Linked DNA regions of Canis lupus familiaris. The protein of the gene in region 2 interacts with the protein of the main gene of each other region in a biochemical or structural test. Links are inferred from orthologs where the notes say so. Each region holds a gene or a part of one and is shown on either strand. Other genes may lie near its edges.

Evidence for each region.
Region 1: the proteins of SNTG1 (region 2) and PLEKHA1 form a complex in vitro, tested with the Homo sapiens proteins (2 studies listed by BioGRID and IntAct, with this or other methods). The link is inferred for Canis lupus familiaris from reciprocal best matches to the Homo sapiens genes SNTG1 and PLEKHA1.

The regions. Positions count from the first base shown.
Region 1 is NC_049249.1:32,368,136-32,371,952, forward strand, and holds part of PLEKHA1 (pleckstrin homology domain-containing family A member 1), read left to right. Parts: intron 1-179; coding exon 180-244; intron 245-875; coding exon 876-939; intron 940-2,561; coding exon 2,562-2,651; intron 2,652-3,817. UniProt on the Homo sapiens protein: Binds specifically to phosphatidylinositol 3,4-diphosphate (PtdIns3,4P2), but not to other phosphoinositides. May recruit other proteins to the plasma membrane.
Region 2 is NC_049250.1:2,296,746-2,301,024, reverse strand, and holds the start of SNTG1 (gamma-1-syntrophin), read right to left. Parts: upstream 2,979-4,279; 5' UTR 2,711-2,978; intron 2,306-2,710; 5' UTR 1,521-2,305; intron 1-1,520. UniProt on the Homo sapiens protein: Adapter protein that binds to and probably organizes the subcellular localization of a variety of proteins. May link various receptors to the actin cytoskeleton and the dystrophin glycoprotein complex.

The DNA.
Region 1 (3,817 bases), on a different chromosome or scaffold from region 2:
GTTTCAAACTACAGTGTTTATAAAGTTCTAGTGTTTGAGCTACTCTGATGCTGGTCGGTTCTGGAAGGTAGATTTAGGTCAAGAAAGAAGCAGTTTTCATACAGATCTCCAAGTAAGACAACTAATTCTTAAAAGGATTTTGAGAATATACCTCATGTATCTGTTTGCTTTTTTGCCAGGAGAAAGAACCCCTCCGTGTAATACCACTTAAAGAGGTTCATAAAGTCCAGGAGTGTAAGCAGAGGTAAGCACCAGCCCTCCCTTAGTGCCTGGAACATCTAATTAATACTCATCGGGGCCTAGGTTTGATTGATGTGTACAGATGATATTTTTCTGTGTTTTTTCTAGTGTTGTTTTCAACTCTTCATTGTTGGGATATGCTTGAACTTACAAAATCCTCAGGTTAAAGTTTTGAGATATTTTTTGTTTCACTTGAAAACTAAAAATTAAGAATCCCTAGGCTTATCAATGGGAAGGAAAGAATTTAATATGAATAATTTGTCATATCTGGCAGACTGATGTTTTACTAGTTTTAATATTTGGAAGCTGCTGAAGAATAGAGCTTTTTGTAAGGACATGTGTTAACTGTGCCAGTGTTTCTTTGAGCAAACTGATTTATGAGCAGTAGAAAACTTTGAATTTGAAACTTCTTTTATGAACCTTTTCTAAAAATATGTATAACTATATAAAATATGTGAAATTTAATGTAAGAATAAATTGAAAAAGATGCTAATTTGGTTTTACTCAATGACACCAGTATTTTATCTCTATTTATTTTCTTATTGACATATATTTGGTACTAGATAAACAAGTGAAAGAAACACTATCCAACAACTGCTATTTACGTGCAATTGGACGTTTGTTTTTGTTGACAGTGACATAATGATGAGGGACAATCTCTTTGAAATTGTAACATCGTCTCGAACTTTCTATGTGCAGGTGAGATACTTTTTTGGCGATTATAGATTCTCCTACCAAGAGATTAATAATTTTAGAAGTGAAATAAATATAAATAAATTTATTGCTTATGCAAATAAGAAAAACATGGCAACTGTAATTCACAACTTTAAAAAAAGCTATATATAAAATTATTGGTAAGTCATATGTTTAGCAAATTAGGGGTACTTTTTGCTCCAAATTGGCACAATAGAAATTAAGTAGTATTTGTGGGAAGGGAAATACTGTTTTAACTTAAACCCCAACTTTCAGTTCGGATCATTTTGCACATATTTTGGAGTTTTGATTGTATCATTTTTGGTAATTAAAAAAATAGGATCTAAAATTCCCACAATAAAAATAGACCATAGATAGACATAGATAGACATTTTGTATTTAAGTTTAAAATACACTTTTTATTTACCACAGCGAATTAGTTAGATTTAAAGGTTTTTTTTTTTTTTTTTTTTTTAGAGGACATTTGTTTTTGCTTTATAAAAGTTACATATGATTATTGCAGAAAATTTGGAAAATAGAAAAAAATATGAAGAAATGACATAAAACCCAAATCCCACATTCAGGAAACTATTCTTATTTTAGTACCTTTTTAAAGGCATATGTTTTTATAACAAGTGGGGTCATATGAAGCACATGGTGATATATTCTAGTTAATGTATTAAATAGTCTTTTTTCCCACATCATTAAAAATCCTGTAAAAACTTTTAGGACTGCATCATGCTCTATTATAGGGATGCTCCATGGTTAAACTGTTTCTCTGCTACTCTGTAACTGATTGTTTTCATAGTTTTTGTACACTTGCTATGATCAGCGTGTGGTGGTGAACAGTTTTGTGTTTAAGTTTGCCTGGATTTCTTCTTTAGGTTAAGTTTCTAGATCAAGAATAACTGTCAGAGCATAAATCTTTTTAAACCCCCTTTTTTGCCAAATTGATTTCTGGATTTGTGCTTTACCTTTGCCTGCTTTGAATTTTTCCTGTTAAAATTCCTTGCTAAAAATCATTGGTTCAAAAGAGTATCTTGTGACTTAAAATTTTGGAACAGAAGTGAAGGGCAGTATGTACACCCCTCTCAGGGCCTGTTTAAGTGGATTTAAAGTCATAGTAAAGTTTTAAATTCATATTGGAAGGCCATGGCCTATCAAGGAATATGATACTTTGGAATATGACTACCAGTACTTTTTTCCGTATTTAGTGGAGTCCTAGAAATGCTGTTTAGAAAAATAATACATAACATGATGTCAAAATGTTTTTTTAACTCTACAGTTAACATTTATACCCTTATAATGGATTCAGACAATATAGCAGTAGATGGAGCAAAATGAGGTTTGTCTGTGACTCCTTCCTCTCATTTTCTCTCAAAAAGTATTCATATTGACACTTTTTGATGTGTCTGGCCTTAAAATATCAGGTGTCCAACTTCTGTCTCTATAATAACGTACCTGCTAAACCTGGCTTAAAAAGCGATTTCTAAAATTTTTTGGCACCATTACCTTGGGATGATCTTGTTGTTGGCACTGTAAGTTTCCAAGATGAATACATTGGATTTATGGATGTAAGAGCGGATTTTGAGGACAAACTGACTGAATGAGTCCTTTCTCTCCCTTAGGCTGATAGTCCTGAGGAGATGCACAGTTGGATTAAAGCCGTCTCTGGTGCCATTGTAGCCCAGCGGGGGCCTGGCCGATCAGCATCTTCTGTATGTTCCCTGTTCTCTGGGGTGGTACTCCTTAAGGCTCCCCCATCCTGTCCCAGTTATTTTCCTTCCTCTCCCCCTAATGCTTCTGGTTTCTTTCTGTATTGAGATTTATTTGCATGTTGACTTTCATACCAATTGGACTTGCAAAAAAATAATGCATTTCTAATTTAATGCTTCCTTGTAGTGTTATGTATACATAACTTTCTGTGCATTGTATTGTCTTAAATGCACAAGCAGGGCAACTAAAGAATGAACATTTCCTTGCTTTGTTTTAGAAGTTCTTACTTGTCACTAGGTCTAGATTTGTTACAACTTGACCAATTCTTAGTACGGGATGTGGCCCAATCCTGTAAAGTGCCTGAAGTTGTAGCATTACACAGTTTGGTGAAGGCCCAGTTTCCTCTTTACTCTAATTTCAGTTAGGGATTTTTTGACTTCCTGGTGCCCTAAGACCATTGAGCAGCTGACCCTGATTTAACACAATTTCATGTTCTCAGCCGCTGTTTTCCATTACATGTTCTCATTCTCATTTTCTGGTAGGGTAATTAAAAACCCGCTGCTTTTCACTACCATAATTATCTTTGTGGTAATATGTTAATAAAATTGAAATGTTAAACGTTCTCAGAAATAATAAAAAATATTTTTAATTTTTAATTTATCATGTTCAAGAACATGATAGGAGTAAGATTTAGCTTTGGAATACTTCAGTCAAAAAAAAAAAAAGGAATACTTTAGTCACTGGCCTCTCATCTGAAAAAACAAATTCTACTGAGGATTAGAAAAAAAATTTTAAGTGTCTTGAAATGTAGCACCTCTGTCTGTGGAATGGAGTCTAACGTGTAGTATGAAAGCCTTGATTGCCTTCTGCAGATTCATTGTAAATGCCAGATATTCCACACTTTTGGTATTTTTTCTGGTAATAATACTGTCTTTAATAGTTTCCTGGTAATGATAACTACAGATCAGTAAATACAAATCTATGTTTCTTAAATTATTCTCCTTATATCCGTTTTGGAATCTCTTAGAAGTCACTTTCATAGGTATTAACTTTGTAACTGCCTGTGTTTTATGTGACCTTTTCAGCAGCCAAGTATGAGACTCTCTGCAAAAACAATGTCTGTTGGGAAGAGGAAAATCTGGAGAAGGGCACTTGTGTTTTGTGCTTT
Region 2 (4,279 bases):
ATTGGAAAAAAAAATCAGGTTGTGTTAGAAGCACATTTTAGGTCTCTTGGGAAGGAATCCACACCAATGATACATTTTCTCTTTCTCAGATTATCATTTCTGACCTATATAGGACAAAATAGCCCTCAAGGAGCTCAATGACATAGATGCCTCTGATCCCTTTCTCCCAAGCAGGCGGGTTCATGGTAAGCAGTAAGTGACAGCTAAGAATGATTTTTCCTCAGAAGGTTACTGCCACTCTGAGCCAATGGAAAACAATAAATACCATCTTAACTGCCTCAGTTGATTTCTGTGTTGAAACTGAGGAGTGTAGGTATGGATATGTATTAGAGGCATTTTATATCAGTTATATATGAACTATGAAATTAAAAGGGAAACCTAAAGAACTATAATTTTTTAAAGGGACAAACTATTTCCACAGTGTTAGGCATGCATATAGCATCCCCAATATTTACATGACTGTAGAAGTCCATACTTCCAAGTCAACACTTTCCACTGAATTGAATGTTCTCATTGGAATTGATCAACCTCTTAGTGAGATGTCAGGCATACGCTATAAATTTGTGTAACTGCCTTTACCCATGAACCCTTTTTATTAAAGCAGAATGCTTATCAAGGTCACTGTGAAAGATTGTACTTGAAAGCTCCAGGGGAAGACTCTAGAAGTAAGAATCAACAGAAGACAGATTTAATTAACACTTTAAAGTTTATGGTTTGTCAAGGACCTATTGGCCTATCGCTTTTTGGATTTCATTAACAAATGCATCTTGTAGAACGAAGAAGTCAGAATGATATCAAAAGCCAGCTCTCCTAAAAAGGGACTCTAAAGCTTCTCATTTTCTCCCTTCTGGCAGATCTGGTTTGAATAAGCAGTCTTAAGATTTAAAAGGCTGGAAAGACTATGGCTAAGTAAACATGTGTGTATTTCTTTAGGTAAGATTCTACAGGTGTAAGTATACTCAGGGTCTGGGGAAGAGAGAAGGATCAAGCGTGTATGTATGCATGTGTTTGTTCTTATACATGATTTGGCAAATTATAATCATATAAAATATAATAAAAAAGGTTGCTAAACCATCTCTACTTGTAACTTTGGGTCTTGAATACTACATAACACAGACAAGATCACTTTAAAGTGCATGTATAAGAAAAAAAAAAACCCTTTTACAAAATGCCAGATTATACTAGTTTTGAAAAAAAAAGACACATACAAATTCAAAAAAAGATATCAGATCATCAGTAAGTAAAATACCCAACCAAGAGTTTACTATAATCATATAAGGTAATACACATTATTTTTAATATCCTTGTCACATAAGAGGCTTCAGAGAAGTAAAATATCCTATTTTATGAGACAAGAGGTTTCCTAAGATCATGCTGCAGGAACAATCATTTAAAAATAAAATTATTTACTCCTTAATCCACAAGGCAAGATCATACTCATTGCAATCTTTCTGCTAAAACCTTTATTTAAAAAGTCATTAGAGTTGTAAATAAATAGAAGTAATAGTATTATCACTTACCAGCCAAGTAAAGGAATTAGAAGTCGTTCAGTTTCTCTAACGTGGGGATGTGAGTAGATCTGAAATCTCTTCTCACAAGGCTATTTACAAAATAGTTGCAACCCTCTGGTGAGCATTCTGTTTATTTCATGAAGTGTGGGCCTTTGAGTATTTCAACCCCTTCTGCAGAGCCCATGGTTTTTCGGAGCCTCTAAGAACTTCAACTTCACTCTCCAGCTTGCATTCCTCCCAACACCCTACGGAGAATTATTCTTGAAGTTGTTGCTCAGAGTTTAATCTGTGGAACAAGAGGACTCCTCAGAGCCCTGTATGGTAGCTATAGCAGGTGGATAAAGAGGGTTTTCGTCTATCAAGGAAGGAGGGGGGGGCAAGGGGTGTCAGGCGGCACCTCCTTCTAGCTGCGAAGAGCAGGGAGCCCAGATGCCCGCGGCGACGGCAGTGGCGGCGACGGCAGCTCCGCTGTGTCCGGGCGGCAGCAGCCCAGGCCGGAGACGCTGTCCATCCCCTCCGGTGCTGAAGCACACGGACTGGAACCCAGCCGGTCCCCAGAGTCGCGCTTCCTCCACCAGCGACCGCAAAGGGCTTCCTTGTCTTCCAGTCTCACCTTCTTTCCTCTGGCGTTTTATATTTTGGTAGGGGTTAACTGCTTTTCAAAAATAATGCTCTCCTACTTATTTGGTGGCAACGTTTCCGGGCATTATCTGACATTAGAGGAAGGAATCCGTTAGAGATCAGATTTGAGCCTCTCCTCACTTTTCAGTTCAGTTCATCCCTGAACGAGTTTCCTAATGTAGAAATAAAAGGAAACGCACGCACCAGCGCGCGCATACACGCGCATGAGGAGGGGGGGGGAGGAAGGGAGGGGGAAGAGAGAGAATATGAATAAATATAGATGATGTATCGTGGAAAATCCAGAGTTTCTTTTGGTCTCTAATTACAGAAAATGGAAAGGGTTATTTTGAACGACTCCACAATCTTGATTACCAATTAGGGCGACCACACTTAAATTCTGAAAAGCCCCGTTTGAAATCCCTGGGTTAGACACAGTAAAGAGGTCGTGGGCTCTTCTTGGACCCTCCAAGAAGAAATGACGGGTTAGTTTAAAATAAATAAATAAAACGAGAGGACGGGGCGGGGGGTAGGGGGGAAGAAAAAGAAAAAGGAAAGAAAAAGCATCTCGTCTTTGCTACCTTCTAAAACGCTGCTGAACTGGCTCGGAATCGTTGCAGAGCAGCTAAGAGGATCAGCCGGACGCGGCGCGCGCGAGCGTCAGTGCTCCCGCAGCCTGGAGAAACCGGGTGGCGAGTCGCGAGCCGCGGGGGTTGCATTCCCAGGGCAGTGCTCGAGAGCCGCCCACGGCCCGGGCTCCGGCAGGGGAGCGGGAAGAGGCTGATTCCACAAAGGATAGAGTAAGAGATGCACAAAGTCAGCGGGCGGGCTCGACCATCTCCGCCCTTTCGGGCCGGAACAATGCCCACCCCGCCGGGCTGTTGCCTGGGTTTTCAGCGCATTTCCCCTCCGCCGCCCCCGCCGCCCCCCAGCCTCTCTGGTCCGGCGTCCCCAGGCCTTCCAGGCCCTCCGCTCTCGCTCTGCACAGTGCCCCCGCCCCTGCCCGTTCTACCCGCTGTTAACAACCGGCTGATGACAAGCATAAGGAAGGGTCTGCGTGGGTGGTCCCCGGGGCGGTCACCGGGGGCTTCGCCACCCGCACTGAGCACCGCGTGCAGATGCGAGTGCTGTGGGCTGGGGGACTGAATACAGAACGTTGAAACTGTTGGAAAACTGATCCAAATCTCATCCACGGGGACCCTGGAAGAGGGAGGATGTAGTGCAACACAGCCCCCCCCCCCCCCCCCCCTTCAGGCTCTGGCCTTAATGCAGTGAAGATTTCAGCGCCAGGAGGCTGTTGGTAGACTTGGGAGGAAATTAGGGGAAGAATTACTGGGGGGGGGGGGGGGGGGGGGGCGGAGCGAAACACTATATTCTCTAGGGAGGTGGGAGAGGGGCTGTCGCCCGTCCCCGGCCTCCCTTCCTTGAACCCTTTTGCTCCGATTCTGGCAGCACCCGGGAAGTCGTAACCGCTGCGTCTTCCTCCTGCGCTTGCATTTCGGATTAGCTGGTGGGTCTGCAGCGGTCCTCGCCGGCCGAGCCGACGCGCTCTCCTAGGCCCTGCGGGCGGCGGGCGCGGGAGGCCCCAGCAGCGGCGGAGGACCCCGAGTTGTTCCTCGGGAGCGGAAACGCGTTGGATCGGGGACCACTTGGGAATGAAAAGCAGACTGACAGGCTGTTTATTCACACGAAAAGTCCGTGGTTTCGTTGGACTTGCACTGTTTGGCTGCGCAGCGCTACCGTCCTTCCCCGGGGCTACTCGGGCTGGGGCTCGGGCCGGGGCTCGGGCTGGGGCTGGGGCTGGGGCTGGGGCTGGGGCTGGGGCCGGGGCCTGGGCTCGAGCTGGGGCTGGGGCCGGGGCTGGGGCTGGGGCCGGGGCTCGGGCTGGGGCTGGGGCTCGGGCTGAGGCTGGGGCTGGGGCCGGGGCTGGGGCTGGGGCTGGGGCCTGGGCTCGAGCTGGGGCTGGGGCCGGGGCTGGGGCCGGGGCTCGGGCTGGGGCTGGGGCTGGGGCTGGGGCTCGGGCTGGGGCTCGCGCTGGAGCTCGGGCCGGGGCTGGGGCTGGGGCTGGGGCTCGGGCTGGGGTTCGGGTTGGGGCTGGGGCTCAGGCTGGCTCGGGCTAGGGCTGGGGCTGGGGCTGGGGCTCGGGCCGG